Linked DNA regions of Saccharomyces cerevisiae S288C. The gene in region 2 interacts genetically with the main gene of each other region. Each region holds a gene or a part of one and is shown on either strand. Other genes may lie near its edges. The genes, in order: LSM7, BUD13, THP3 and TGS1.

What was found.
Region 1: mutations in BUD13 (region 2) and LSM7 together harm fitness more than expected from each alone (negative genetic interaction), as found in Saccharomyces cerevisiae (4 studies listed by BioGRID).
Region 3: mutations in BUD13 (region 2) and THP3 together harm fitness more than expected from each alone (negative genetic interaction), as found in Saccharomyces cerevisiae (3 studies listed by BioGRID).
Region 4: mutations in BUD13 (region 2) and TGS1 together harm fitness more than expected from each alone (negative genetic interaction), as found in Saccharomyces cerevisiae (3 studies listed by BioGRID, with this or other methods).

What each region holds. Positions count from the first base shown.
Region 1 is NC_001146.8:348,741-356,258, reverse strand, and holds LSM7 (Sm-like protein LSM7), read right to left. Parts: upstream 5,320-7,518; coding exon 5,302-5,319; intron 5,206-5,301; coding exon 4,876-5,205; downstream 1-4,875. Other genes in the region: MPF1 (Mpf1p), read left to right, coding at 1,217-3,439; MFA2 (mating pheromone a), read right to left, coding at 3,729-3,845; YNL146W (uncharacterized protein), read right to left, coding at 4,242-4,544; YNL146C-A (uncharacterized protein), read left to right, coding at 4,679-4,873; ALF1 (Alf1p), read left to right, coding at 5,588-6,352; PGA2 (Pga2p), read left to right, coding at 6,503-6,892. UniProt on the Saccharomyces cerevisiae protein: Component of LSm protein complexes, which are involved in RNA processing and may function in a chaperone-like manner. Component of the cytoplasmic LSM1-LSM7 complex which is involved in mRNA degradation by activating the decapping step.
Region 2 is NC_001139.9:168,151-175,845, reverse strand, and holds BUD13 (Bud13p), read right to left. Parts: upstream 1,302-7,695; coding exon 501-1,301; downstream 1-500. Other genes in the region: chromatin-binding exonuclease XRN1, read left to right, coding at 1-319; ssDNA endodeoxyribonuclease SAE2, read left to right, coding at 1,524-2,561; YGL176C (uncharacterized protein), read left to right, coding at 2,767-4,431; MPT5 (Mpt5p), read right to left, coding at 5,275-7,695. UniProt on the Saccharomyces cerevisiae protein: Required for efficient splicing and pre-mRNA nuclear retention. May also be involved in positioning the proximal bud pole signal.
Region 3 is NC_001148.4:651,155-659,431, forward strand, and holds THP3 (Thp3p), read right to left. Parts: upstream 5,399-8,277; coding exon 3,986-5,398; downstream 1-3,985. Other genes in the region: PUF2 (Puf2p), read right to left, coding at 1-2,508; 60S ribosomal protein eL43 RPL43A, read left to right, coding at 3,012-3,013, 3,417-3,693; MCM16 (Mcm16p), read left to right, coding at 5,645-6,190; MSF1 (phenylalanine--tRNA ligase), read left to right, coding at 6,375-7,784; TAH18 (NAPDH-dependent diflavin reductase), read left to right, coding at 8,028-8,277. UniProt on the Saccharomyces cerevisiae protein: Forms a complex with CSN12 that is recruited to transcribed genes and required for transcription elongation. May also be involved in pre-mRNA splicing.
Region 4 is NC_001148.4:250,926-258,871, reverse strand, and holds TGS1 (RNA methyltransferase), read right to left. Parts: upstream 4,059-7,946; coding exon 3,111-4,058; downstream 1-3,110. Other genes in the region: KIP2 (Kip2p), read left to right, coding at 1-1,656; pheromone-regulated protein PRM4, read left to right, coding at 2,105-2,959; AIM44 (Aim44p), read left to right, coding at 4,562-6,838; PET20 (Pet20p), read left to right, coding at 7,204-7,946. UniProt on the Saccharomyces cerevisiae protein: Catalyzes the two serial methylation steps for the conversion of the 7-monomethylguanosine (m(7)G) caps of snRNAs and snoRNAs to a 2,2,7-trimethylguanosine (m(2,2,7)G) cap structure.

The DNA.
Region 1 (7,518 bases), on a different chromosome or scaffold from region 2:
ATGTGCCGCTCTACCCATTTCATTTCTACGCCTCAATAAAATGTATGAAAAATGAAAAGATGTAAAACAAAACAACAGTTCCGTAACCGCGGAAAGTTGCGTCTCGTAAAAGGAATGAAAAACTCATATACATTCACCAGATATGTTCTATGAAACTCGAAAGCTTCCATCAATTCACACTAAGCTACACGGCTCCTAATAAGCACTGTAATTCCATCAAATGACAGCGTGACTTCTTGAGTAGTGTAGAACCACTCGTCCCACTAAATCACAGCCCTTAATCCGTGCACAGTGAGTTAAAATATGACTTTATTCATGTAAAACGAAATTTCATCATATACTCGATCTTTGTTCTGCTGTTCTTGAGATGTAAATTACGTGAATTCCTCCGGTTAACACCTTCAGAGTCGCATGGTCAGTCAAAAATTCCACGTCTTATCACCGTGGTCTATTCCAACCTTGTAATATAACCAACACATCGATTTTCGGTACATGGGTGTTTGAGATTTATCCTCATTTGACACATGTACCTGAAACTAATCTTTTCTATCCGGGGCTCCGTGGGAAACGTAACCCGAATTCAAATTCCGCCGAGGCCCCTTTTTTATTTTAGCTCACTCACTGGGTACGGAAGCAGATAGAGCTCTGGATACCCGGAAATCAGCAACACCCAGAGACCTTGGCACGGGAATAAGATGCAGTACCGAATGATCCGGGTCCCACAACTAAGTCAAAAGAAAAAAAGAGAGAATTATTTTGCTGCGGTTTTTCGTTACCTATGCTAACTGTTTCCTCCATACCCCTCCACGCCGTTTTCTCTAATACTGTCCCCATTATCTTTTTGCGAACTTTCTTTCGGCTGCTTCCGGCCAGTTTCTCCCCCATGCAACCCCCTGCGCAAAGGAACAGATCTGCTCTTGATCAAGTAAGAAAATGTGGGGGGCAGGCATCTTGAAAAATTCTCTAAAATTTGCATGTATTCTGTTTTCCGCCAAGGGATAGAGCAAGTGGAAGACGTAGTTGAAGGACTTTTCGTAATATATACAGGCATGCTATTTATTTATTTTGTTGGTGCTTTCTTGGTAAATTGCAAAAACTGTTAGTGAAGTTTCTTTGTAACTTTGGCACTAGTTGTTACACAGGCAGTAACACTAAGCACTATTTTTTTACGTTGTTTTCGCAGACAGCAGAAGAGATAAACGGACCTATTCAGAAAATGTCCTCCAGCATCTTTGAAATGACAATAGACCACGACGGTATGGATAGTACGGGGCTGAAGCTTTCACAGACAGCCTCATCCATATCCATGGGCGACGAGTTTCTTTGTTCCAGTACTACTAGTAATTCTATTCTGGATTCTCCGCTTCCGAAAGTGACTTTTAACCATATCGATAGCATAACAGACATTAACACAAACATCATGAACGAAATAGTGGAGCCACAATCCGGAGTAGATGTTGATGTTGCTGACAAAAACGTGCTTTACTGCATAGATCCGTACCCAGTGGAACCTCCGTGTTATGATTTTGCGAATCCGTCTAAAGTCATTAGGTACCCTATATATGAGCATTGTCGTCCGTGCCTCACTTCTGTGAAACCTCCCAGTTATACACCGTCTGTAGAACACTATACTGTGGTTTCTATGAAGATGGAAAAACTATCGCCCTTTGAAAATGCTTCTTCTCGATTATGGAACAACTTTATTCTTCAAATAAACTCTACGCAGATAAACTTTTATTCTATTGACGATTCATTAACCAGGCATATTAAAAACTATCGTGGTGGTGACATGTTTGACCATTCCCACCATTCCAAAACTGCTAGCGATCGCCATCATTCGGCTCGGTCGTTATTAAATGCGTTCACGACGAAATCCACTTACCAATTCGATAAATATGACAAGGAAAGGATATGCGGGGAAATAGCACGAGACGAGCACAAATTTTTATCAGATGAGCGCCTCTTTAAGAGTTACTCCCTGCAATGTGCCAAAGTTGGTCTGCCTATAGATTATTCCTCTAGAGATTTTGTTTTAAGAATGCGTTGTGAGGGACAACAGTTTCTAGTGCAGTTTTCTCATGTAGACGAATTGATCTATTGGGCTATGTATTTGAACATGGGTATATCCCTGTCCTTGGATCTGGAATTGAGGGAAATGCCCACCTATAGAAGCGTTCCCAGAAGGAGACATCCGAGGGCAAGAAGATTTAAGCAACACAATAAGAACAAAAACAAAAACAAGAGCAGACAAAATAGTGATAGAAATGATTCTCGCTCCCACTCTTTACTTTTAAGAAGATCACACACCTCTTCTGTTGTAACAAAAGTGGCCACCGGCAACGAACGTCCGACAAACAAATCAAGATCAAGAAGTTTAAGCTTGCTACCTCCCTCTGTATCCGATGCGAGTCATGACTCCAATGGGCCCAATGACTCTGGTTCATTGGCAGGGGAGAGTTCTCAAACTGATTTTTGTGGCTTATTTACATCAAAACTAAGAAATTTCTTTAAAACAGATTCCAGTTCGAGAAAAAACTCTAATATGGACATTGGACAAAAAATGAGATCGAAGGAACTGAATAGTGTTCAAGAAGAAATCGATGACAATGGTAGTACTACTAATACCAATACTTCTGTTCTATCTTCCACTTTTTCTCCCACAGCACATTCTGTTTTAACGGCACAAACATCCATCCATGAAAACTTCAGAAGTAGATCGAATTCCAACCCTATAGATCCTTTGCGCTGTGATCGGTCAGTGTTGAAAATTAATAATTTTGAACCGGTATACGAGGGAACAGGAAGGTCAACTATTTCGAATTCTGCTGAGCGTACGAATCGTGAAGAAAAGTTAAACCGTGGCAATGAAGATGTAAATGGAGATGAAGATGATGACGAAGACGAAGACGATGCTAATTACGAAGAGGATGATGAAGATGGATATGTTGAGGATGATGACATCAATAGATTGGTATATTTGGATGAAAGAGAATCTCGCTATGAGAATGCGGACGTTGAGTACGGTACAATATTCAGTACGAAAAGCTTTTCCGTGACTGGTTGTTTAAATCATGATTTTCCAAAGAAATTGTCACTAAAATGTGGAAATAAGAATCAATCCAGTAACGATTCGAAGTGGGCACCGGCGACACAACTAGTTTCAAGGAAAAGATATATCAAAGACTCATTAAGATGCATCAAACCGTTAACGGAAGACCACCCATGGGTAGGTAAGATTATTTTCAAACCGGCACTGCCACCAGCATTCGAAACGAATAATCCACCTATAAGAGTTTATAGTGGTGAAGATAGTACGGACTTGATGCACGTGAAAAACCATTATTTAAAGCCATACATAGTGGGATCCTGCGGGTTTTTGAAAACTGGCTCAAAACTTTTTCACTTTTACGATAGAACTAACGACCTTACGAATTTATGAAATATATGTGTTTTTAATGATTAAATAATAGTCAAAAATATAATTAAAAAAAAAATCGAATGTAATGGGTGGTTCATCTTTCATTTCCTGCGGAGGGAAAGGCGTATCAGAAAAGAAAAACATGAAAAAATCTGTTAAAGTGATAACTACAAATACATATGTATAAAAGTATGAAAAAGTATGGAAAGGGTGAGCTAATGATGAGAGAATTGGAATAAATTAGTTTGCCAGCAACACGTAATAAATGAAAGGGTAGATATTGATTTGACCTCTTGGTTGTCGTCAAAAATTAAGCGATAACACAGGCGGGATCCCAGAAGAGGCCCTTGATTATATAGTTGTCTTTCTTTTCAGAGGATTTATCCTTCTGAGTGGCTTGTGTGGAAGCAGTGGTGATCGGTTGCATTAAGGTTGGTAGTTATTGTTGTATGAAGATGATAGCTCGCTGGTGTCTCTAGTGATGTCAATGAACGGATGAACGACAGAAGAAGTGGATGGAAATAAAATGGTTATTTATCAGATATTTATATACAAAATTACGTGGTAATGCAACAGCTTTTTCCTCTCGCTTTGTTCTTTTTCCTCTGACATGCATGTTTCATTTTCGTTCCTTATGGCATCCATGTCATGTAAATTTCCCGAATAGGTAAATACATGCTTTTTTAACTTAAAAAATTATGGGCGTCCTATGCATGCACTTAACGGAAAAGGAAACTATCAATTAATTATGTAGTAGATGGTGTACCTATTATTGCATTAGTATTTGTTTCAAATGAAAACATGCTGCTTTAACTTTTCTAATTTATACCATAAACGGTATAGTAATGATGAAACTGAAAAATAAAAAAATAAACAGTCTGGTCTTATCGACCATGTTAACATCATCAAAATCCACCAAGTTTTCCGAGAAAATAGATGAGGGCCTGTTATTATTACTAACTGAGTTTGAATTCTTTTTGTAAAATCGTGGCAGTAGTTCTTGAAATGTCATTTTGAAGGACACTGAGTTTCGAAATATCAACATTATGAGTATGAATAAAAGTGTAAGGATAATGATCCTTTTGAGTTCCATGTGATGAGAAGTGGTATGCTTAGTATTGCTCATACTGGACAAATACGAAAGGAATCAGTAAATAATTAAGATTGTAGAGGGAGGGGTGTATGTGTATGCGGATACTTTTTTGATTTGGCAGAAGGAAAATTGGTATTGGCAGCTGTACAGTGACTCCCCTTATACAAATGATCTCAGTTTGTTTCGTTTTTCCTCATTCTCTGGCTTTAGACTTCAAATCGCGGTGTAAAAAAAATAGGACAAAACTATGTAGCGCATACTATGTCAGTCAGGTATTGAGAATATGTAAAGAAATGCCATACCGTGATTTGATTTTGTTTTCAACTGTAAGGAAGGGAGTTTATATGAGATTATATTATTAAACCTATTTTTGCATATATAGTACATCAGAACCTTCGGCGGAACTTAAAGAGACCAAAATAGTACCTCTTATGACGGTCAAACCTAGCTTTCTTGCGTTTTTAGAAATCAGTTCAGTGTTGTTTTCATCATCAGGATTAGACATATATTCTACTGTATCATCAAGTACCAAGTTCATCAGTTGATCATAGCCTTTTAGGACACCTATAACTAATTTACCACCCATTAATTTGACGCGAATTTTAGAATCTTTATACTTCGCTAAATCCAGAATAGCTTCTCTTTTAGGGCCTTCGAATTTTTTCCTTTGCTGTTGTGGTTTGTTCTCTGATTTCTTAGTTCAAAAAGGAAACATAGTTATTATAATGTTAGTATAAATAAGTCAAAAGGAAGGTTATTGCCACGGAAGAAAATAAGAAGTGAAACATACGGAGTGTTGCTGATGCATGTTTTTTTGGTTAATGTTCTGTGTAGTAAACAAAGTGCTGCTCTCAAATAACTTTCTTTTTTACTGTAGTAGTATACACGTACATGCGTATTCTTAATTGTCGTTTCCCAGTTGTCTGTTTTCAGCTACAGCTTTTTTCGCCTTTGTTCGAAAGAACAGTACTTTTTTCCGGCTCGCAGGGAAACGGCAGTTGAAGAAGACAAGCGACAAGAACATAGAGCAACGAATTCAAATAAAGAGATAGAAAAAAAAATTACATGGCAAAACTATGGTTAGAGTTGTCATAGAGAGTGAATTGGTCCGTACAGAAAAGGAATTACCAAATTCGCTTAAATTAAGGCAGTTCAAGGACCGATTGTACCATGTTACCGGAGTGGAACCAGAGGATATGGAAATAGTTGTGAAAAGACAGTACGACAACAAGGAGATATATAGTACTAAAAAGGGGGGTGCCTATTCAAATGAGGATGAAGATGCCAACTTCCTAAAAGGAGAGGAGGAGCTTATTGTGGTTGTTACAGACTCTAATGCCCAATCAATCTCTAACCAGCTGGCCACGCAAGCGGAAGGAATCCCCTCAATGGAAGTAATTAGCGAGGAGGATTATTTGCGAAGGGATCAATCCGTATTACGATGGAAGATGGCTCACGGCTATGGTAGGTTTAATGCTGCACAGCAGAGCCAGCGCGCTGCGCTGGCAAAGCAGGACGAAGCATATGCCCGAGAGCAATTAACGGCGGCTATCGGCCGCCACTGTCGTGTCACAGTAGACGGGAGCGCTCCACGTGAGGCCATTTTACGGTACGTAGGACCACTACCGTTGGACGTGATGGGCACATGGTGCGGTGTGGAATTCCCGGAAGCCGCAGGCAAAAACGATGGGCGCATAAATGGGGTAACACTGTTTGGGCCTGTGGCGCCGGGTCACGGATCGTTTGTGCGTCCGCGGGCTGTGGAAATTCTATCAAAAGACGAAGAATCCGCCGAGGTGGAAGACGTCCATGATGACGTGGAGAGCGATGATGAAATTTGAATTTGTGCAGAATTAGCGCGGTGGCGGTTTAGTTAGTGATCTCCATCCGATGTCAACATATTATTATTTGTAGTTGTATTTATGTGCACTCGGCGGTTTGTATGAGGAAAAGATGTTATGAAGAGAAAAACTGCCGAGTAATTGAAAGAGATGTCTGAAGTAGCGGAAACATGGGTGGATACCTGGATGGCAAAACTAGTCAACTATGACTACAAGCACTTTATAAGATTGGTGATAATTGTAGGTGGTTATTTACTCTTAAGAAATATCGCATCCAGGGAATTGGCGAAGAAGCAGTTGGCTGCCCAAGTGGAAAAGGACAAACGAGACAAAGAGGAAAAGAGATCAAAAGACCTGATCGACAAGCCAGATGATGCTGCAACAGCAGAAACAACTTCTTTCGGTTGGGGTAAGAAAACTAGAAGAAGAGTTAAAAGACAACAGGAGTTGTTTGAAAACGCTTTGGAAGAGGCTAAGAGAAGAAACCAAGGGTTGGACCCAGATAGTGATGCTGATATTGAGGAACTACTGGAAGAATAGGCTCTCTGTGTATGTATGGGTTCCTCTTTGTCATTGTGACATTGTTTTGTTTTTAGTTTTTCTATAGTTTTCTGATAAAATAGTCTAACCATTACCGATGTTGCTACTTGCATCATTCTCAACGTCTAATCAACTTGCGTTTGCGTCTCAAATTGAGTTTGTAGGTTACGTGTCGCCTTAATAGTCAGCAAATGCCGACGTTTGTGAGACGGATAACGACTGCGATGATTCCCATTCCGCATGAATGATGCAATTCACAATTCAAACACGATATCAAACGACTAAGCCGTGAATTAACGGCTAGAATGCAAAAGAAAATGGGTAAGAATTGATTTATGTAGATACGGCAAGACGATACTTTCCTTAAACAGCCGAGAAACGAAAAGGTTTAAAGAGATGTACTGTGACGTAGAAGAGAAAGGATTACGCAGCAATGGCTTGTCCAAATTTCGTAGTCTAGCCAATTGAAAATATAAATTATTTTCAATACTAATGGGCGGCTTTCGAACAAATGTCACATTGCAGAGGTGATCGTTCAAAGTAATTAGCAGTCATGAACGAGATCTTCTTTTCTCTTATGAAGAAAAAGGCTGATGGTCGACAAGAAAAATCTCAATACAATGGCT
Region 2 (7,695 bases):
TAATATGAATGGAATGTCTATTCCGCCACCAGCACCACATGGGTTTGGACAACCGATTTCCTTCCCACCTCCACCTCCTATGACAAATGTTTCAGATCAAGGAAGTCGTATTGTTGTCAATGAAAAGGAAAGCCAAGATTTGAAAAAATTCATTAATGGTAAACAGCACAGCAATGGTTCAACTATTGGGGGAGAAACAAAGAACAGTAGGAAAGGCGAGATTAAACCTTCTTCTGGCACAAACTCTACTGAATGTCAATCGCCAAAGTCACAAAGCAATGCTGCTGACCGTGATAATAAAAAAGACGAATCTACTTAGAACATACGACTAAAAACGAAGTATATTCGAGGTTACTTTAATAGTATATCTGAGACCTATATAAAGAGGGGTATTTGTATTTAATCGTTGATCTTGTTAAGAAAAAGCTTATAACAAATGGGGATTGTCAAAGGGTATTTTTTACACAAAGCTTTCCGCATAGTTATATATTATCTCATTTTCAATAATCCTCCTGTAGGGTGTAGCTTTGCACTTTCTTCTCATTGATCTCATTTTGCTTAGCAAACCATTTTTCTTCAAAGCCATTTGATCTGTGGACACCGTCCCATCTTGACCCAGGCATAATGGCAAACCTGTTCTCAGGTGCTGGCTTATCATAAAGCTTGCGGCCCAGTAAAGATGTTTTTACAGTTCTTTCTTTGTCATGTGTAAATGTTATTGCAGGGTCTTCTATCGTCAGACTCGAGGCAGTTTGATTTTTCTTCTTATCATGTGCATCTACATTTATTCCAAGCTTTTGCACGTCTCCCATATTCAAATTTTTCAGGTATTGCTCTCTTTCCGCGGCTTTCTCATCTTCATATTTAGATCGACTAAAACTAGAATCGTCTATCTTGGAATCTTCCTGAATCTTGTGACCTTGAGCGTCTCTGTATATGGTTTTTCGTGTTTTCGATTTGTCTGCTACTGTGACAAGTGGCTCTTGAGCCCTGATTTCCTTTAGATCGTTCTTGCTTTCGTTGCCAGTAATTGACGATGCGGAAGGATGTGTTATTGCATGGGAAAGCTCGTTTGTTTCCAGGTTCTTCCATATATTCTTGCTTTTTTGTTTGTCAAACTTGCTGAATGAAGCAACTCCTGACTTCTCCTGTTCTTGTTGCAGTGTACTTAGCCGTTCTTTTACTATCAAAGAAGTTTTGTCTGAGTTAGCGTCTGATTTTGACTCTTTCTTCTTCTTTTTCGTCTTATTTTTGGGTTTCGTGGGCCCATAAGTCTCTGATAAATACTGATGCAATGCCATGTAATAAACGTCCTGTTGTTATCTTCCACCATTCGAGTCTTGAGAACAACTTTCAAAATCAAGTCAAATAGCCATTTTCTTTATGCCATTTTCTAAGCGCGTTCTACAAAAAAAAAGCTTTTAAGCTTTAATACCTTTTTTGTTTACGTTTGCAAACATTGTTATCGTTCACATACCTGCATTTCCATCCATGCTGTAAGCCATTAGGTGTTTGTATGTGAGATGGTGACTGGTGAAGAAAATGTGTATCTAAAGTCAAGCTTATCCATTCTCAAGGAGCTCAGTCTCGATGAACTACTAAATGTGCAGTATGACGTGACTACCTTAATCGCGAAACGTGTTCAAGCACTGCAAAATCGGAATAAATGTGTTCTCGAAGAACCTAACAGTAAACTGGCTGAAATTCTATGTCACGAAAAAAATGCTCCTCAACAATCCTCTCAGACGTCTGCGGGGCCAGGTGAGCAAGATTCTGAAGATTTCATCCTTACTCAGTTTGATGAGGACATAAAGAAAGAATCAGCAGAGGTTCACTATCGTAATGAAAATAAACACACTGTGCAGTTACCGCTGGTTACTATGCCACCTAATAGGCATAAACGGAAAATTTCGGAGTTTAGTTCGCCTTTAAATGGCCTCAACAACTTAAGCGATTTGGAAGATTGCTCTGATACTGTAATCCACGAAAAAGATAATGATAAAGAGAACAAAACAAGAAAACTATTGGGAATAGAGCTCGAGAACCCTGAATCTACATCGCCAAATTTATACAAAAATGTTAAGGATAATTTCCTGTTTGACTTCAATACGAACCCTTTAACAAAGCGAGCCTGGATTCTCGAAGACTTTAGACCAAATGAAGATATCGCCCCGGTTAAGAGAGGAAGAAGAAAATTGGAGCGATTTTATGCCCAAGTTGGAAAGCCAGAGGATTCTAAACACAGATCATTGTCAGTAGTTATAGAATCGCAAAATTCGGACTACGAATTTGCGTTTGATAACTTGAGGAATAGATCAAAATCCCCCCCAGGTTTTGGAAGACTGGATTTTCCCTCCACTCAGGAAGGGAACGAGGACAAAAAGAAATCCCAGGAAATCATCAGAAGAAAGACAAAATATAGGTTTTTAATGGCAAGCAATAACAAGATCCCACCGTACGAGAGAGAATATGTATTCAAAAGAGAACAATTAAATCAAATTGTTGACGATGGATGTTTCTTCTGGAGTGATAAATTATTGCAGATATATGCTAGATGTTAAACGCCAGCGATCATCATTCTTTATTCATTACTTCAAATACATTTTTTTTGGTATGGTTGAAAGGGCTTTTTTCCTCGTTGGCATATGGGAAAAACTGAAAAATAAAAAAAGGCAATGAGATGAACAACAATGGAAAACAAAAAAGGGCGAATAAATAAGCAGCAGTTGGTAAAGCAGAAAGGGGAAGTTAACGGACGTTAAACAAATGACACCTAACTTACCAGGGTTTTATTATGATAGAGAACGTCGACGTTATTTTCGCATATCTGAAAATCAAAGCATTTCTACCACGGGAACGACGAACCAGTACAGAAAAGATAATATAAAGCGACAATGTGTTGAGGAAAATTACGATAAAAAATTTTCTATGATTAAAAAAAAACGTCAGCAAACATTACAAAAGTACAAGCTTAGTCTTCTGAATCCGTTGGAAAGGGCTTTTCGCCCTTTATCATATGAAAAGTACATGATTGGTTTAAATATGCAGTATGCATCGCATTCTCTCACTGAAGGTCATCACTCACATAGTTCTGCTAACGTAAAATCACTCAATTTTCCACACAGGATACAGATAGGAGTATTAGCAAATTGTATTTTATTGGTAACTCAAGAAGGATGTTTTCATAGTAAATTAGTATTTGCAACAAACAAGGGCTATGTCGCAGGATTTTCATCCCTGGATAATTTTTCTGAAGAAAATTTCTTTACGGGGTTTTCCATGGCTGAATTAAATCCTATGTTGAAATATAAGTCCGAGCCAACTGATGTGTTCAAAACAATGAAACTTGAGAGAACAGTTGCCATCAAGGAAGGGCCGAGCCATTATTTTTATCACAACGTTAATACCAGATCTAACGTGCATACTTTTGCCATCTTTTTACAAGACTTTTCTTCCTTAAAACTGCTCAAAATTCGTCAGGTCAAACTCAAAGAAAATTGCCAAGTCCATGATTCTCTTGTTGTTGGAGACACGTTGATTATTACCGTAAATTATCGTTGTCATTTTTATGATTTGATTCCAGAAACCTTTCCAAATCCCTATATCTTTTCTCCTGCCAAAAGCTCAAGAAAACACAAAAGTAGGAGTGACATTACTTCCCTATCATTTTGTCTACAAGAAGATGCTTTATCACCTTTAAAAAAAACGAACACCGGTGTGTTTTATTTAGGTTACAGAAATGGTGATTCAATGGCAATAGTCTTCACTAATATTACAAACATGACATTACAGTACTCCAAGACCAACGGTATGACATCAGAAAGTCGAAATCAACCTATCAGAAATTCCCTAAAATCTGTTGTTTCCATAAAAGCATTGAATAATAAAGGCCTAATACTTATATCTGGAATGGCAGACAAAGAGAATGTGCAACAACTGGTTATAGCAGATACGTTCCTGGAGGACATTCTGACCGAAATCCCGGTTGTATCTTTTAAAACTAAGTTCTTAAACGTGACTAAGGATACAGAAATACTCGAGATATCGGATGACGGGCGCTACTTCATTTATGGTTCAACTAGCGCTAGGGACGGAAAGGGTGATTTTGAAGTATTTTGTACCACTTTATCTGGAAATCTTGACTACGAAAAATCCGAAGGTGGAAATATCACCCTCTATCCAATAGGAGGTATGAAGAACTACTGTAGGTTAGAAAACTTCCAGTTTGAATCTATCCACCTACATTCGGCTTTCATACCCCCAAGGTACGTAAATCCGTTTGATGCTGTGGAACCTCTAGGTGAAGAGAGCAGTACTTCACCTTACGATATACCTGAAGAAGCACTTTCTCAAAAAATATGCATCTTAATTCGGAGAGAAGATGATCCCTACAATGGGGCCAATATCTTCATAACATCTGCTTTGACCTAGTTTAGCCCACCGAGATTTTTGCTTTATAAATATTTTAGCATACTTTGCATTCATATACATATTCATATGTATAAATATTCTTTAAATTTTAACGCCGACTTCGAACTAATTAGCAGTCAAAACCCAAATGTAATGACCTTATGGTGTTATAGCATAATTCTTCTTGGTGTACAATTCCATTCTGAATAGTTCAACGATTTTAGATATAGTTAGATATGATATTATAATAAAATATACAAATATGTATCATTGTTAGTACAAGTTAAACCTAAATATAATAAAGCCAACCAAGACAGGAACCAGTAGAAAAATTTATACAAATGACAAAGAAAAACAAACGGTATTTTCCTATTTATTAAAAATGCTTGAGCGAATGGATATTTTAACACATTAGTGTCCTAAAGGACAATTGGATTTGAAAATAAAATGACAGTAATAGACAAAAAGAAAACTGAATGAATGAATGGACGTATGGATTGCTTAATGAATGAATGAATTAAATAATAGTTGGGCGTAAGTTCAGAAGATGAGGAATTTAAAACAAAAATAATCGTTGACAAAAAACGATTCAAAAAAAAATTAGATCATTTTGGTAGGGAGCAATGCTAACCCTGCAAAGGCAGTGGGAGGATTTTGGATACGTGTTCGGAAACAGAATACAAAATATAAAGATGGCAATAGTTTGCTTTACCATTTTTTTCCGGCTCAAATTTTGGGACTTTAGTAGGACGTCATTGCTTAGTTGAATTTTTTATTTTTTATTTTTTATTTTTCTTTTGTCTTTGATTTCTGCGTAAAATATTTGTACAGTAAGAAGGAAAGAAAAAGAAAGAAAAAAAAGTATTATGGCAAAGTGAATTGAAGTTCATCAGATGTTCTAGCGGTATTCATGGCAGGCATATTGGAAATACTAGCGTTGCGGCTCATATTAACTTGATTATATGGGCCTTGACCAATATGCTGCGACTTCATTGACAAACTTGAATCCCAGTTTGCACCTTCCGTTTGATATTGCATACGAGGCACAAAAGATTCATTGAAGTTTTGACTATTTGCATTAGAGTATGGCGAGAAGTGATTAGCATTAATTTTGTCGGTTTCATTCATCATAAATCCAGGCTGCTTAAATCCCCTTGAAACATTAGGATTCACATTGGTAATGTTAGATGATGAGAACGAATGGATTGGTGCAGCAGAATTAGGATGTGCCATTAAATTTGCAAACTGGCGGTTGTCGAAGTTTTGTAACGAGTTATGGCTTACCAATGGTGGGTTAGTTTGAGAATTGAAAGAAGGTGCTCCCATCGAGGGATATGCGTTTTGGTTGAAGTTCATAATTTGTTGCGGAGAGTGAATTTTCTGATCTTGTGCATATTGGTTTGAGAAATTATTGGTTACAGAGCTGTTACTTCTTCTATGGTAAGCATTAGCTGGTAAAGAAAAATGACGGGTATGACTCTTTTGATTATTATTGTTATTATTATTGTGAGCATGGTTATGATTATGATTATGATTATGATTATGACTATTTTTGTTATGGGGGTTCTTATTTTCGTTGTTAATCGTTTGAAGATTGTTATGACTCATTGCAGTGACTTGAGGAGATATGTCAGTGAATGGTATACCTGTGGCTTCTGCATAAGCTTTAACTTTCAACTTAATTTTCTTTGCATAGGATGTAGTTTTAATACTTGGAAGTAATTCTTTTGTAAGGACAATCAAGTTACCAATTTTCAATGAAAAATCGTTACAAAAGTTACCGTAATTCAATGTACTAGAGCTGTTTTGCCCAATTGCGTTACTATTTTTGTTGTAAGCAAGCAGAGGAGAATAATTCTTAACGTCTAATAGCGTTTGTAACGCATAATTACCAAAATTATCCCTGATTAGCACATTTAAATTGACTGTGAATATATCAATGGTAGTCAAAAGAATGTTCATAGAAGCATTAATCACGTCATCAGAAGCAACTGCAGTCCTTTGGGAGGCACCCCCATTGTTATTAACAATAAATCCAGTAATGATTCTAAATAATTTTTTAATGAATTTTTCCACAACATTTGAGGAGAACTTCAAACAAGATAGTTGACATAATTCATTGGATAAACGGTTAAATAACTCAGCCAATAAGTAAAAGTCCAATTCTTTGATATCTAACAGAAATTGGATGATATAATTACCGAACTGATCGTTGATTAATCCAGGAAGGAACTGCACAATTTTCACAGAAATTTTGAAAATTTGTTGTAGAGTACAAACGCTTAGTAATTTTTGTAGTACGCAACAACCATGTTTATGGGTAGAAATGGTAATGATATTATTTTGTTCTACAATAGCATCTATGATGAAACCAAATTTTGATGGCGAGAATTTGAAAATACACTTTTGAATCACATGGTTACCATTAAGATCGTTTATCAAAGTAACCACTTGCTCAATCGAAGTAAATTCTTGGGAAAATCCCTTAATAATGAGATCGATTTGAACTTCGTTATCGACAGTGTCTATAATTTTCTGTAAGGAACGAGTTCCGTACTGATTGATTGATATTTGGAAAACATTTGGATATATTGTTTGTATTAATAATGTCTTTTGCTCGGCAGTTAAATAATCGCATAGTTTTTGAACCAAATAGTTACCGAACGGATCCAAAATAAGGTCCAAGAAAAATGGCTTAATTTGTTCATACATCAAGTCTCTCACCATATTGGATTCACTGGGGGTTTCTAATTTTTTTTGAAGAAAACGGCAGCCAAACTGGTCAGTGGCAAGTTTGATATAATCCAGATCTCTAAGGGGTAGTGCGCTGATTTCGACCATAGATGAAGACGTTGAGCTACTCAAACCAAATGACGAATTATCCACTCCACATTTGGAAGCAGCATTATTACTATTGCTAAAATTTCTGAGAGATGCAGCAGGAGTCACTGAAGAGGATGGTGTTTCCATAATTAAACTGGAGGTATTGACACCAGAGTTCGAAGGAGCAACAACCGTGAAATCGTGGCTTGATTTTCTCCTGGGACCATCCATTTCCAGATCAAACTCATTGATTAATGGTAGAATGGCTGGAGGATTTGCCATTGAGGCTGAAAGCCCAGTGGAGTTGCTAGCAGCATTAGGATTCGGGGAAAAAGAGTTAGCAGAATTCGATGTTGATGTATTATTCATCAAAGCCAAGGGAGATTGTGTCGATGATATGAACTGATTAAAACCAGAGAGATCAAGCGAATGAGCCTTTTGATGGTTTCTTTTGTTATTCAT
Region 3 (8,277 bases), on a different chromosome or scaffold from region 2:
AAGAATTCTCGAGGTTAAAACCTTATAAATAAATGTTGGACCATAATTACCCTCATCTAGTATCTGGAACAAGATAGAATCACTAGAAATTGGACCATCAAATATTGCATGGATAATTTTATTCTTCGACAGTGCCTCTTCTTCACCACCTCTTAAATTGAGAATCTTTAAGACAGTAAGAGAGCCTAATTTATGACAACATAGTTTAACCAGATTTTTATTTACCAGTTTATCACATAAAATCAAGTTCTTGTTAGGTAAAGTGCAAGTATCCAATAGCCAAGTGATCAGTAAAGTGCCATTCGTATCCGTAGCTAGATAAGGAGAAAGCACAATTATCAGTGAAGTGATAGTCAGCAATTGGCATTGGGTAATAATGGAATCTGCTTCTAGACAAGCCCTTACAGCACGAGATCCATACCTGTTTTGAACTATTGTCCAAAAATGAGATAAAACGCTTTCAAAAATGAAACTATTCCAGGGAAAACCAAACTTTAAAATACCTTGAATAACATAATTTCCAAACTGGTCGTTGAAGAGTGGAGTACAGTAATCGCTTACACCTGAAGTTACAAGATTTATCTGCCTTGGCGTGTTTGCCATTTTGATGATCTTCTGACAAACCCAAGTACCGTTTTTGTGAACACCCATAGATGTGAGATATTTATTACACTTCCTCAACATAATATCCCTGATGATATTTGACGAGTTTTCAAACAATTTTTGAATAACGGTATTACCCAAATAGTCTGAACTTAATTCTGGTAATTGGTCCAGCATGACGATTGCCAATTGCTCCATTTCAATAGTAGATAATGAGTTCGAGTCAAACTGCTTTCTCAGTTCCCGCAATTTTGGTGCATCGAACGTATCCTTTCTCTTTGGAACTTTGGAGTTGTGCTCAGGCAGGGGACCAAAATAATTTGTATCAGACACTCCTTTATTTTTCAAGGCATTCTGCAAGAGATGATTCAACTCTAGATGATCATATTCTAACTTAAAAGAACTTATAGTGTGTAATATATCCTTTTTACTATCCGATAATGATGGTGGAGGCAACGGGAAAGGGTAAGGTTCATTTTCGTTTGAAGATAATTGCAGATGGCTCAAATTCTGAGTGGGATTACAATATGTAAGATTTGGTTGATTAAATGAAGTTGGTTGTTGTTGTAGCTCCGGCTGTTGTAGCGATTGTTGCAGCTGATAATTGAGCACCCCGTGATTCAACTGTTCTTGCAACAGCGGTTGCTTGGGAGTGTTGTTGAAGCCATTAACGTTAAGAGGTTGTTCATACATGGGTAAGACTCGCGCAAAAGATACCGTACTTGGTGCCCCTACTTTAGACAGTTCCTTACCTTGTAGAGCTTCCAAAGCACATATTGCACTTTCAACTGTGGAAAACTCTACTAATGCCATATTCAGGCCTCTTAGTGTCCTCGCAGAAAGCACTTTACCATACTGTGAACATAAAGTCGCTAAGGAAGTACTCGTCAAATTTACAGCGTTCTGTTGATGTTGTTGAGTAGGCTGTAATGGAAACACGTTTGAAATAGATATTGTGTTAGTGGGCAAAAGCGCCGATATTTGATTGACTAGTGGTACTTTTTGGTTTGCTGTAATCCAATTTATCGAGGCTGGATCGACGTCATCAAGGATAACAGGGGATATTGAAGTACTTTTTGGAACTCTAGGAGGCACTTGAACCTGGTAATTCTGTGCAGGCTGTTGATAGTAGGGCGCGTCAGTATAAACCCTGTTTGTGGTAGATTGAGATTGAGAGCGCTGCCTGTTAACTATCGGAGTATTAAGGTGGTCAGTGTTACTATTTCCTGCACTCGACCATATGTTTGGATTCCCATTTTTCTCCAGAAAACTGTTTAGTTGAGCTGTTTGAGGCAGCGTATAATTATCAGTGGACTTGAATCTAGTCAATGGCTCAAAATAAGAAGTGGCGAGAGGATAATCAAACAAAGGACTGGAAGAAGTATTACTTTCTGCATTAGCACTCCAAATATTTGCACTCGTGGCATTGCCCACATCAGTAGTCAAAGAAGAACTTGCAGTGATCTGAGAAGATACTGTGTTATTTCTTGTTCTTGTTCTGGTCGTAGTAGACTGTAATGACAGCGGAGTAGCCACCGTAAAAGAATCGCTAGACACTCTGGGAGCGTATGTCGTGGAATTTAAACTGTCTGGAGTACTGCTCGTAGGAGGCACAACAACTACAGGGGTACTCTTCTTTGAATGGTGTAGCTTAGCGCTAATCGAAGGGAGTAGATTGGTTAGAGTATCTGAAAACCTGCCCGCACGAGTACGATAGGAGCCAATTTTCTGTGGGGAAGTGGAGCTAGAACGACCTCTCTTGTCAGAGACTCTCACAGAACGAGCATTTGTATTCATGCGTGTATCATTTCTAATATCCTCTTCATAAATTGGAATTGTAATTCCAGGATCTATAACCTCAGGAATGTTGGATAGGTTACCGTTATACAGTCTTTTGTTGTCCATCAGAATTCAGAAAACAGTAGCAAGGGACAGCGATAGTAGATATATCTCTCTAACAATGAATATACACTTAAGCTAGTAACAAATAATTGAATGGTTAGTATAGAGGAAAGTAAGTTATGCCGTTGCTCTGTGCCATTCAGCAGTATATGCACCATCGCTTGCTCTTTCGAGGGGTGGTTTCATACTATTTCACAATTTTTTTACTTAGTTCTTTTTTGGAACAACAGCCGGGTTACCAAAAGATCTCAAACGAAACTAAGACTGTTCAAATTTTCAAAGAATCCGTACATTTAGAAATTTTTTTTTTTTCCGCAAGAAATATCCTTGCTTTTTTTCACTTTTGTTAACTTTTTCTAACGCAACGCACGAGGCGGCTCACTCAGTGTTATGTGAGATATTGGGCTATATGGGATGTTAGAGTTAGGTATCATATATAGTATTTGGCACGCCTTTTTTTAGTTCAGACAGTAGTAGCAAACAACAGGAAGACAACTGAGACAAAAATGTATGATATATTACGCACACGATTTACCGTTTGCTTGGAGGAGTAGTGTTTCGTGATGAAATAGACTGATATAGACAGAATTCCACAGACTTTTACGATATAAAGGGAAAAACATGAAGTTGAACACCATATCTCAAATGAATAGGATCACTGTAATTCGATAGGGTACAATTATGTGAAATGTCTGCTTTATGGGAACTTTCATTCATATACCTGAAGGTGGCAAACTAGTCTTACGAAACTGTTCAGTGCAGAGATAGAATTTTGTGGAGATGCATATAGGGAAACAAAGTGGAATTTATGCTTGTATAATCACCAATTCGAAACACTAAACCTCGACCTATTTAGAATTTCCTTCAAGATTTACTAACATATTTTGATATTTTTTCTTTTTTGAATACAGGGCTAAAAGAACTAAGAAGGTTGGTATCACTGGTAAGTACGGTGTCCGTTATGGTTCCTCTTTGAGAAGACAAGTCAAGAAGTTGGAAATCCAACAACACGCTAGATACGATTGTTCTTTCTGTGGTAAGAAGACCGTCAAGAGAGGTGCTGCTGGTATTTGGACTTGTTCCTGTTGTAAGAAGACCGTCGCTGGTGGTGCTTACACTGTCTCCACTGCTGCTGCCGCCACCGTTAGATCTACCATCAGAAGATTGAGAGAAATGGTTGAAGCTTGATTTTATTTTAATTATATGTATAAAAATCATAAAACAACTATATAATTAATTATAACTCAAAAACTTTTCCAGTAAATGTCTGTTTTTTGGGCAGGAACAATGGCCAATAGCTCACGTACTGTTCGTGGGGGCCTTAAGCCTGGTATCTAGGCTCTGATTTCCAGAAGAAAGTGACATCGATGAATGCACTCAAGAGATTTTATGTGTTGTGAATATGTATATATTTATTTAGAAAAAAAAAAAAAAAAAAAAACCAAAATCATATACCTTAGGCATCCCGTTTCCCTCTTCATCATTTTTGTCCCTTTATATCAATTTTTTTAGACTTCATATAATTTTGTATCAACTGTACCCTACATCCCTTGGTATTCAAAATCTTGATATTACTACTTTTGCCATTACTGTCAGTGATTTGTTTGTTTAATATGAACTCCGTCAAGTTTTGCTCATTCAAGAAATTTGTTGTCTCTTCTATACTGTTGAAATTAAACTCACTTTTAACAAAATCTAAATTGACCTGGTTATAACTCTTACAAATTATGGTCAAAAATATCAACTTTTCTAGATTTAAGAATGAATTAATTAGACATTTTTCAAATTTGTGCAGTTTTAGGTAGTTTTTCATGAAGTAGTGATAATTGCCGACTAGTTTCATATCGCTCAACTCAAATATCATTTTGACATGTTCGTCCTCCAAGATTTCCGAAGAGCCATCGTCTATTAACTTAAGTTTTAAATGAGAAATCGACGGATAGTCTTCGGTTAACATCGAATACAAAACAGAATAGCATATAAATTCGGAATAAGATTTTTTTGGTATTGTAGGGTTTTCGAATAACGCCATAATCCTATTTTGACATTGATTAAATTCCCCAAGATCTCCGTTCTCCAAGGCAATACGTGCATGCGTTTGGTACACTTTAATAGTGAAAGAGTTCTCGATCATTTGCACTCTTAGGTCTTGTCTCATTGATTTAAACTGGTCGCAAAGGTAAGTATAAGTGGCTGTTTTAGATTGGTATTTGTCCATTAACAAGCAATACATTTTTTGTAGAATATTTGGGGGTCTGATCAAGTCAGGATTAGGCTCTGAAGTTAGTCTCAGATAAGATTTCTCTAGAGTTTGGCAACGCCCTACCACATGAATCTTTTTGTCATATTGATGAGATTTGCTACTAATGGCATTTAGGTTGGCAAAGTCTTCATTCAAATTATCGTTACTATTCGTCGTCGCTGATGGTCCCTGACTGAATCTTTCTGCCCTTCTCTTTCTTCTCTCTAATTCATCACTGCCACCCATTTCAACTTTCCATCCCGATGCCGAACCTACAGCACCATGCCCTACTATATTACTGTTGCTCATTACATTGCCGGATACCCCGTTAGAAAGGGCTGATGCCTTCTTAGATACTCTTGGTAATTTCTTTTTAATGTTTTTGTTCATACGTTTTTGTAATCCCGGAAGCGGTGTTACCATCAAAGGGTTAGAAACCTGGTTGACGTTGTTCCAAGATAAACGTGGTTCTGGCAAAGGCAGAGAAGGTTGTTGATTGGCAATGAAATTATTATTATTGTATGTCAGAGAAGGGAAAGATCCGGCGTAATCTAGGGGCCTATTCAGGCTTTGGCCGAATGGTCCTCCTTGAGATGAAGCTTCCCTGTCCTCCGTGGTATTGTTAGTAAAGTGACCGTAAGGATTCTGCATAATGTTATTGGAAACTCAACTACTCGCTGCCGAACGGTTCCTACTCCTTGTATTCTATGGTTTCTTTACGAGACAGCCAAATCTCTATTTTTTGTCATGTTCAGTCCTTTTTTACTCAAAAATTCCAAACCGTGAAGGATGATGCATGTTGACAATAAATGATAGCCGTCATCACATACAGTGTGCAATATCTAGATACTTCTAACCATTTCTTCCTGTCGTGGGGAGTTCATACCATTTTGACAGATGACAAACAGTAGTGAAAAACAATGGGAAAGAATCCAGCAATTAGAAAAGGAGCACGTGGAGGTATATAGAGAGTTGTTGATCACGTTGGACAGGTTGTACTTGATTAGAAAACACAATCATGCGGTAATATTAAGCCATACTCAACAGCGCCTCTTGGAAATTAGACACCAACTTCAAATTAATCTTGAAAAGACTGCTCTTCTTATTAGACTGTTGGAGAAACCGGACAATACCAATGTATTATTCACCAAGCTACAAAACCTCTTAGAAGAAAGCAATTCTCTGGACTATGAGCTCTTGCAATCGTTAGGTGCTCAATCTTCATTGCACAAACAGTTGATTGAATCAAGAGCAGAACGCGACGAATTGATGTCAAAACTGATTGAGTTATCGTCGAAGTTTCCCAAACCAACTATACCGCCAGACGACAGTGATACTGCTGGAAAACAGGTTGAGGTAGAAAAGGAAAATGAAACGATACAAGAATTGATGATTGCTTTACAGATACACTCCGGATATACAAACATATCCTACACAATTTGATTTTTATCTTCTAATGCTATTTATATATTCAAATAATTTTAATACTGACAACGCTAATAATAATAGTTACTTAATTAAGGTTTGAATCTTCGAGAAAAAAAAAAGGTAGGAAAATTAAGGAACTACTCACAAATTCAGAGAGAGAGAAGGGATAAAAAAATATCTGCCAATGGAGGTAACTTCAATGTTTCTCAATAGAATGATGAAGACCAGGACTGGTCTTTATCGCTTATATTCAACCCTTAAAGTTCCACATGTAGAAATCAATGGCATAAAATACAAGACCGACCCACAGACTACCAATGTTACAGATTCAATAATAAAGCTTACCGACAGATCATTACATTTGAAAGAATCACATCCAGTAGGCATTCTTCGCGATCTAATTGAAAAGAAATTAAACTCAGTCGACAACACATTTAAGATCTTTAATAATTTCAAGCCCGTGGTAACCACAATGGAAAACTTCGATTCTTTAGGGTTTCCTAAGGATCATCCTGGAAGATCAAAATCTGACACATATTATATAAATGAGACGCACCTACTGAGAACACATACTTCAGCCCACGAATTAGAGTGCTTTCAAAAAATAAGAAACGATTCAGATAATATTAAAAGTGGATTTTTAATATCTGCAGATGTGTACAGAAGAGATGAAATTGACAAAACTCACTATCCGGTATTCCACCAAATGGAAGGAGCCACAATTTGGAAACGAACGAAGGCTGATGTGGGCGTAAAGGAGCCAATGTATATCGAGAAAATCCGTGAAGATATCAGACAGGTAGAGAACCTTTTAAATAAAGAAAATGTAAAGATTACGGTTGACGATGATACTATACCTTTGAAAGAAAATAATCCTAAACAAGAGTATATGTCCGATCTGGAGGTTGATTTGTGCTCTCAACATTTGAAGAGGTCCATTGAACTGATAGTTTCTGAAGTTTTTAACAAAAAAATATCTAGCATGATCAAGAACAAAGCGAATAATACACCCAAAGAGCTAAAAGTCCGTTGGATTAACGCTTACTTCCCCTGGACCGCGCCCTCATGGGAAATAGAGGTTTGGTGGCAGGGCGAATGGCTCGAACTCTGCGGATGCGGATTGATTCGTCAAGATGTGCTACTAAGAGCCGGATATAAACCTTCTGAAACAATTGGGTGGGCTTTTGGCTTGGGTTTGGACCGCATTGCTATGCTTCTTTTTGAAATTCCAGATATTAGACTGCTTTGGAGTCGTGATGAAAGATTTTCAAGACAATTCTCCAAGGGATTAATTACTTCCTTCAAACCTTATTCAAAACACCCGGGATCATTTAGGGATGTTGCGTTTTGGTTACCAGAAGATAAACCAGATATTCATCAAGTTCATGAAAATGATTTGATGGAAATTATCAGAAATATAGCTGGCGATTTGGTAGAGAGTGTCAAGCTAGTCGATAGCTTTACGCATCCGAAAACTGGGAGAAAATCTATGTGCTACAGGATCAACTATCAATCAATGGACAGAAATTTGACAAACGCCGAAGTTAACACTTTGCAAGACATGGTGTGTTCTAAATTGGTAAAAGAATACAGCGTAGAACTCAGATAGGGATACGGACTCAAACTAGTTGCAGGTGTTTTACCGCAGCTGTATATATCTTGTAAATACTTTGTCAGGTTCTTTGTATCACTTCAATCTATGTTCATCTATCTATCTGTTTTTCTTAATTACTAAGCATTTGCGGCAATGCGATGACTACATAAAAAAAAAAAATTCGAAAAATTTCATGAGCCTTATTAACATGAAGATTCTAGTCAACAGTAGGCCATCTGTGTTTCCATTAATCGCTGCATGTCATCGAGCAAGAAAATCGTCATCCTCTATGGATCGGAGACAGGTAACGCGCATGATTTTGCTACAATCTTATCCCATCGACTACATCGCTGGCATTTCTCCCATACATTTTGCTCCATTGGTGATTATGACCCACAGGATATCTTGAAATGCAGGTACCTTTTTATTATATGCTCCACAACAGGCCAAGGTGAATTACCAAGGAATGTCAATGCATTAAAAGGTGAAAGACCCGTCACGTTCTGGT
Region 4 (7,946 bases), on a different chromosome or scaffold from region 2:
GTGCATGAAGAAATTGGAGAGTTCAAGTTCGATCATGTTTTTGCTTCCCATTGCACTAATTTGGAAGTTTATGAAAGAACCAGTAAACCAATGATTGATAAGTTATTGATGGGGTTTAATGCCACCATATTTGCGTACGGTATGACCGGGTCAGGTAAAACGTTTACAATGAGCGGAAATGAACAAGAGCTAGGCCTAATTCCTTTATCTGTGTCGTATTTATTTACCAATATCATGGAACAATCAATGAATGGCGATAAAAAGTTCGACGTTATAATATCGTACCTCGAAATTTACAATGAAAGGATTTACGACCTGTTAGAAAGCGGATTAGAAGAATCCGGTAGTAGAATCAGTACTCCTTCAAGGTTATATATGAGCAAGAGCAACAGCAATGGATTGGGCGTAGAATTAAAAATCAGAGATGACTCTCAGTATGGGGTCAAAGTTATCGGTCTCACCGAAAGAAGATGTGAAAGTAGTGAAGAATTATTGAGGTGGATTGCAGTTGGTGACAAAAGTAGGAAAATTGGCGAAACTGACTACAATGCAAGAAGCTCACGATCTCATGCCATTGTACTGATTCGTTTAACAAGTACTAACGTAAAGAACGGCACCTCAAGATCGAGTACATTGTCGTTGTGTGACCTAGCAGGTTCGGAAAGGGCTACGGGGCAACAAGAGAGGAGAAAGGAAGGTTCATTCATCAACAAATCCTTACTTGCTTTGGGGACTGTGATATCCAAACTCAGTGCCGACAAGATGAACTCAGTAGGCTCAAACATTCCCTCGCCATCTGCAAGTGGCAGTAGCAGCAGTAGTGGAAATGCTACCAATAACGGCACTAGCCCAAGCAACCACATTCCATATCGTGATTCTAAATTGACTAGATTATTGCAGCCGGCACTAAGCGGTGACAGCATAGTGACAACGATATGTACAGTCGACACCAGAAATGATGCGGCAGCGGAAACTATGAATACGCTGAGGTTTGCATCAAGAGCGAAAAACGTCGCACTTCATGTATCCAAAAAATCCATCATCAGTAACGGGAATAACGATGGAGATAAAGATCGCACCATTGAGCTACTGAGACGCCAATTGGAAGAACAACGTAGGATGATCTCTGAATTGAAGAACCGTTCAAACATTGGCGAGCCCTTAACCAAATCTTCCAATGAAAGTACTTATAAAGACATTAAAGCCACCGGCAATGATGGTGATCCGAATTTGGCTCTAATGAGAGCGGAGAATCGAGTATTAAAATATAAACTAGAGAATTGTGAAAAACTACTAGATAAAGATGTGGTTGATTTGCAAGATTCTGAGATTATGGAAATTGTAGAAATGCTTCCCTTTGAGGTCGGCACCCTTTTGGAAACAAAGTTCCAAGGTTTGGAATCACAAATAAGGCAATATAGGAAATACACTCAAAAACTTGAAGACAAGATCATGGCGCTAGAAAAAAGTGGTCATACTGCAATGTCGCTAACTGGGTGTGACGGCACTGAAGTGATCGAATTACAGAAGATGCTCGAGAGGAAGGATAAAATGATTGAGGCCCTGCAGAGTGCCAAACGACTGCGGGATAGGGCTTTGAAACCACTCATTAATACACAGCAATCACCGCACCCTGTCGTGGATAACGATAAATGATTAGGTGAGGGTCCCAGATCTCGGGTGCTTTTTTCCTTGTGCGGATTGTTCTGTAGACTGCGCCTCCGCTTGCCCGGCGCTTGCCTTGAACGGGATCTATTCTCAGAAGACAGCGCATAAAAGGCAGTTTTTAGGCACTTCTCGTTAAGAAAATACACAAATAATGGATTTACGAAGTTCGTTTCAGTGTGGTACCAAAAAATTTGGCATCAGCTAATAAAGATCAAGAAGTTTTGGGGTTGTTTCGAGTCTGTCTCGGCCTTAATTGTGCAGGTACTAAAGGGATTAATATATAAAGATTGTTAAGGCCAAGTGACTGAAACTTGCAAACGTCTTTGAATCAGGCTTATCTCTTAAATACTTATATATATGTTCTTTTATAGACTTCATAATCTCTTGTTCCAAGAACAGTAAAGAGCAATTAAAAAAAGGAAAATAACAGTTAAAGATGATAGCGGATTCATCAGTTTTGAAAAAGCACACAGCAATCAAGAGAAGTACGAGAATAATATCGCTAACACTCGTTTTGCTTGGCGTATTTAGCTTCTTACTACTTACATGGAATGACTCCTTGGAATTCTACAACTCTGCTGACCCTAGCGAAAACAAAAAAAATAGTGAGGAAGAAAGTGAAAAGAAGTTCGTTTACAAGTTGCCAAACTTATTAAAGACAGCAGACAGTTTTCTAAGTAATGAAAATGAACTAAATTTCCAAAAAGTCAAAGAAGAAATTTCAAATATTCAAAGCGAGGTTGAAGTCGACATCCCAGAACCCTCATCCAAAGCTACATCAAAATTTTCTTCAAGATCGTTCCAAACTGATAATGTCGTGACGGCGACGACCACAACAACACTAAATCCACGGTCATCTTCTCTGGCCTTGCAGAAAAACTGCGATCACAAAAAATTCGACCCTAGAACAGATTTTCTAGATATAATAAGAACCTCTCCAGCGGTATTATTCATTAAATCATCACAAGCAGACTCCATTTTCTTAAAAAATCTATTACAAAGAGAATTTGAGATTTCACCCGAATTGGCCACTGTTGATTTGGAAAAACACTCTCATGGCTATGAATTAGAAAAGTATATCAAACAAAATAAACTAAATATCGATACTAGTGCTGCCTTGGAATCCATTCAGTCGCCTTATTTATTTTTGAATGGTATTTCCGTGATAAATCGTGGAATGGTGAGAGATATAATCGAACCTCATTCGAAGGGATTGCTACTACCTCTTCTAAAGTCTGAAGCGCGTGGCAACTTGCTGGTAGAAAAAAAAGACATCCCTTCTAATTCTTAATTTGTTATCACTCCTATCGACGAGCAGCCGCAGCTAAAAGAACGTTTTAATTATTCCCAAATTCACGTAAGCGATCCTCTTTATGTGCTATATATACATTCATAACATAGTCATTGCATTTTCTATCATACGATTCAACTTGAACAAGTGTTTAACCATTTACGTCGTAAATGTCTACAGTATTATCTTTGGTCGTTGTTGTGGATTCATGCTTTTTTCTTTTCGAGAGCTCTTCGTTTTCAGAACTCAGCTCTTCCTTTTCGGACGACTCCCTTCGACTATTCTCCGTACTTGCTGGTTCGTAGTTAAAAAAGCATTCCCCCCACATGCAAAATATTCCTTTCATATATCCATTCTCCTTTACATATAATACTTTACATTTGGCAAATGGACCTAGTACTTTCCTCGTAGCTCGAGAAAGCTGGTTCAAATCAGAGTTCCTTGGCAAAAACATAATCACATTAGGGCTTAGTTTAAGAAAACTTTTCAACATCTTGGTAATCCCCATAGGCTTTAGATGTTGCTCTAAGTCATACACATCGTTTCTTAAGTATTCTGGACCACCCCACGGGGGTGATCCAAATACACAGTCGTACTTTATTTTGGAAAGTTTCTGCTTAGAGACTAGCTTTTTCCAGGATCCCCGCTTCAGCCATATTCTGTCGTCCACACCGTAGCTTTGGGCGTTTTTCGCAGTACAATATATGTGTTCAATACTGTAGTCCACTCCATAGACGTAAGGAAATTGCATGGCAAATTGTATGGTGTTCCCGCCCCCACCACAGAAAACATCCAGTATTCTTTCGGCATTTGGCATGCATGCCTTAACAAAATTTGCCAGGAAGCAGGCAATTCTTTCGGGCGTCACACTGAACCACAGCTCATCAGTCATATATATCGACGCCGAATCTATCTTTGAAAACAATCTACGCCTATTTTTCCAGTATTTGAAAAGTTTACCATTTTTCAACGGTTTTGATGATTCTATCTTATAGGCATCATTGTTCAATAATTTGATCAGAGTTCTAAAGTTGGAATGATGTTTTCTTTTGCGTGCCGCATGTTTTATTTTCGAAGCATGAATAAATGTCCTTCCCATCACTTCAGTTAAATCAACAAAAATTTTTTCTTCTACTTCTGTCTGTTGCCCCCACAACACGGTATATAATATGGGCAATCAATACAACGAAAAACTTACTCGCTGTTTGCGGAATAACTCACTTCCCCTTCATATAGTTTGGTGCGATGCCTTAGAATTTTTCATACATTGTTTTCATGTGGAAAATATTCAAAAAAAGCGATGGCTGGCGAAGATAAAAAAAAGGCTGCTCCAGCCATTCATTACACAGGCAATTCAATATTTCGGTTAGTAAGATAAAGAAGTCGATATGCCTATCCTTAAACATGTTCAACTGGGATAACCAGATTGCTGGGCTTTCAGCAGGTCATCAATTCTTGTACAAATATGTTGTATATATAGATTTAAGTGCTTGATAATTCGGTTGACAACTTAACGGCTTAACAAGTAAAACAAGAACAATTAACTTAACAATAGTGCTCAAATAAATTTGGCTTATTATCACAACAAATATATCATACGGAATGATCATCAGAGCTCCAATAAGGACAAAAACCAAGTCGTTTAGAGGCGATCAAATGGATTTTAAATTCCCGTCTAACGAAAGTTTACCAAGAGGAACGCTAGAAGAGTACCATTTGAATAATCATCATCTTTTAAATGATGTGTTTGCAGCAGAAAATGGAGTTTCTCGCGATGAAGACGGAAACTCTCAAACATTATCAGACTATACATCCACTTCCAATACAAATACAAATTCCGGTTATTCATCAAATGGATACTATTCATTTGCTAACATTTCTGACAATACTACGTCTTCACCACGTATTGTAATCAATCAAAATGAAACCGCTAGATTAACTTCCTCAGACTCGAACAAAAGTGACTTTTTTGCTTCTCATGACTTCCCAGGAAATGACTCTCTTCATTATAGCAGCTCAAATGTAGTTAAAAACCAGTTACATTCAATGGAAGCTATTCCAGAGGGAAACATAACTGGCTCAATCTCAACGGCATTCCAGACTATCCCAACAGCAGATAATGTTTCCTACGATATCGCGCCGTCATCAGCATCATCGTTATTACCAAGGAAATCGACATCTAAAAGCGCCATTCTGCCGTCGACCCAAGAAGCCAAACCGATGACCAAATTAAATATGGAAAAGGATATAAAAACTATCGAATTAAACAATAGCGTAGTACCGAAACCTAAAAAAAAGCTAAACAGAGTTCCGACCATAAGACGAGTTGAATCCTCGAGGTTTTCCAATTCCAGGTATAGTTCAAGTGTCAGCAGTAAATCAAGTAGCAGTCGTTGTTCTCTAAAACGATCAAAAGCTATTAGATGTAAGGGCGGACTCTTATATTATTTCACCTCATTGGGAATCAAGATAAAGAAAAAGTTACGGAAATTACGGCTAGTTTTAAGAAGAAGACTGTTTTCATATAATGTTCAAAAGGTCCCCTCCGCCACGAATTCCAAAACCACTAAATCTAAAGCAAACATTAACAACAAGTCAAAAAAAAGAGGGACGAACCTAGTCAACAAAAACAGCAACTCTACTCCGCGTCAAAAAAAATCGCAGAGATACGTCTCTAATTTACAACGGTCGATCTCATCAAAATCTTTAGTACCTGTATTGGCTCCACAAAAAAAGACTAAACCTTTGACAGTTGATACGAAATTTAAAGCAAACCATCCCCAATCTGAAGATTCCAAAGTTGGATCAAACACCCCAAGGAGCCCTTTGGTAAGCTATACTCCATCATTGAGAAGAACAAATTCCTCTATTAGAAGGGCTGCATCCATCCTAACCGCATCTGCCACTATGACACCGGCAAATAATAAAAACTCCTTCATTTCTGTACCGGATAATGTTAGTCATGCCGTCACTCGCAACAGCAGCATGTACTCGAGGTCAAGATTGGTAAGGTCAAAACCATCGACGGCCCTAAATGCAATTGCAAGACAGCCATCAATTGTGGTAGAAAATAAAGTTATTCCGTTATCCATGAATCGATATTCTATTAAAGAGGAAGACGAATATGTAATTGATACTAGTTCTATGAGAGAATTATCTCCCGTTAATAGCGTTTGCTCATCTGATTATGACAGAGAATCATCTGAAAGCTACTCTAATTATGCGGATGCAATGGAGACAACGGAAGTAGATAATAAGGACAGAGTTGAATGCAACAATGAAATTCAAAATGTGGATGCAAATAATGAGGAAACTTCAAATGAAGAGAGTTACAATTTGATGAAACATTATTTAAGCACCGTAATTGCTCAAAGAATTATGCTCAGGGTACAAATTGCTCGTATACAAAATTATAAGAGCAATGTTGTTTATATGAATAAATCAGCAGAAACAAACTCAACTATCTACGAAGATCTTGTCGATTCTCTATTAACTGAATATGAGGCTGATGGTAGCTCCTCCCAAATATTTGATGGCGTTACAGTAAGGGCCGACGAGGAAGAAGAAGAAGATGAAGATGATGAAGATGATGAAGAAGAAGAAGAAGAAAATGATGATGAAGAAGATGAAGAAGATGAAGAAGATGATGAAGATGATGAAGAAGAAGAAGAAAAAAGAAAAGAAGGAGAAGGAAGAAATTTGGCAAAAGAGGTAGACGAATTAGCGGAATTAAGTCCGATGAGAAAACAAAGCGATTTGAGTATTACGTTAAGATCTCCATTTGCTATGCTAAATCCTGCCTACTCAAACAGCATTATATCGCTACCAACAGGTGTGGTCAAGAGGTCATTGACTCTTCCTGTCGGTATGAAAATTTAAAAATATATAATAACATAAGTTTGCATTCATTAATATTAATATAAATCAACGTATCAACCATAAGAACCATAATCATAATAATTGTTTACCTTAATGGCGATATCGCCTTTTATCACCATCGACGATAACAAACGCCTATTCTGTCTACCGTTTCTTTTTTTCGCTCGCAATATCAGAATCGTTTATCCCAAAGGGTAGTTATAGCAACTATTTAAATAACTTAGATGTTTCTTTAACTTATTCCGTCATACGTACACAAACACCCGCTAGATATAGCACTCCTTGCTGTCGAACATTATAAAGGTGCTTTTAAAACTACTAATCGTATATTCAGCAGGTCAGAACGCAAAGTCGGACGATAAACTATGTTGAAGCTAGCTCGTCCATTTATTCCGCCTTTATCAAGGAACAATGCCATTTCTTCAGGAATAGTTCTCACTTCTAGAAGATTTCAGTCTTCCTTTACGTTCTTAAGTAACCAGTCTTTACTATCTAAAAATCAAATGAAATCCAAAAGAAAAAAGGGCAGTAAAAAGGCAGCGTACCATCGTCAACCCCCGGAACACGAACATACTGCACCACTTATAAAGCAAAACAAGACAATCACAAAGAAAGAACATAGCGATGTGAGAGGTTCTCATTTAAAAAAGAAAAGAAGCGATTTTTCGTGGCTACCAAGAGTACCATCCACCTCACATTTAAAGCAGAGTGACATGACCACAAATGTACTCTATTCTGGATATAGACCCTTATTCATCAATCCCAATGACCCGAAGCTAAAGGAAGACACCGGAAGTACGTTATACGAATTTGCGATGAAGCTTGAAGATTTAAATGAACCTCTATCACCATGGATTTCCTCTGCCACTGGACTTGAATTCTTTTCAGAGTGGGAGAATATACCTAGTGAACTACTGAAAAATTTGAAGCCTTTTCATCCACCTAAGGAAAAATCAATGAACACAAATGAGCTTATTCATGTAAGTGCTAAGAGAAATACATTAGTTGACAATAAAACAAGTGAGACGCTTCAGCGGAAAATGGATGAATTTTCAAAGAGAAGAGGAAAGGGGAGAAAAAAGTCAGTAGTGACGTTGCTCCAAATGAA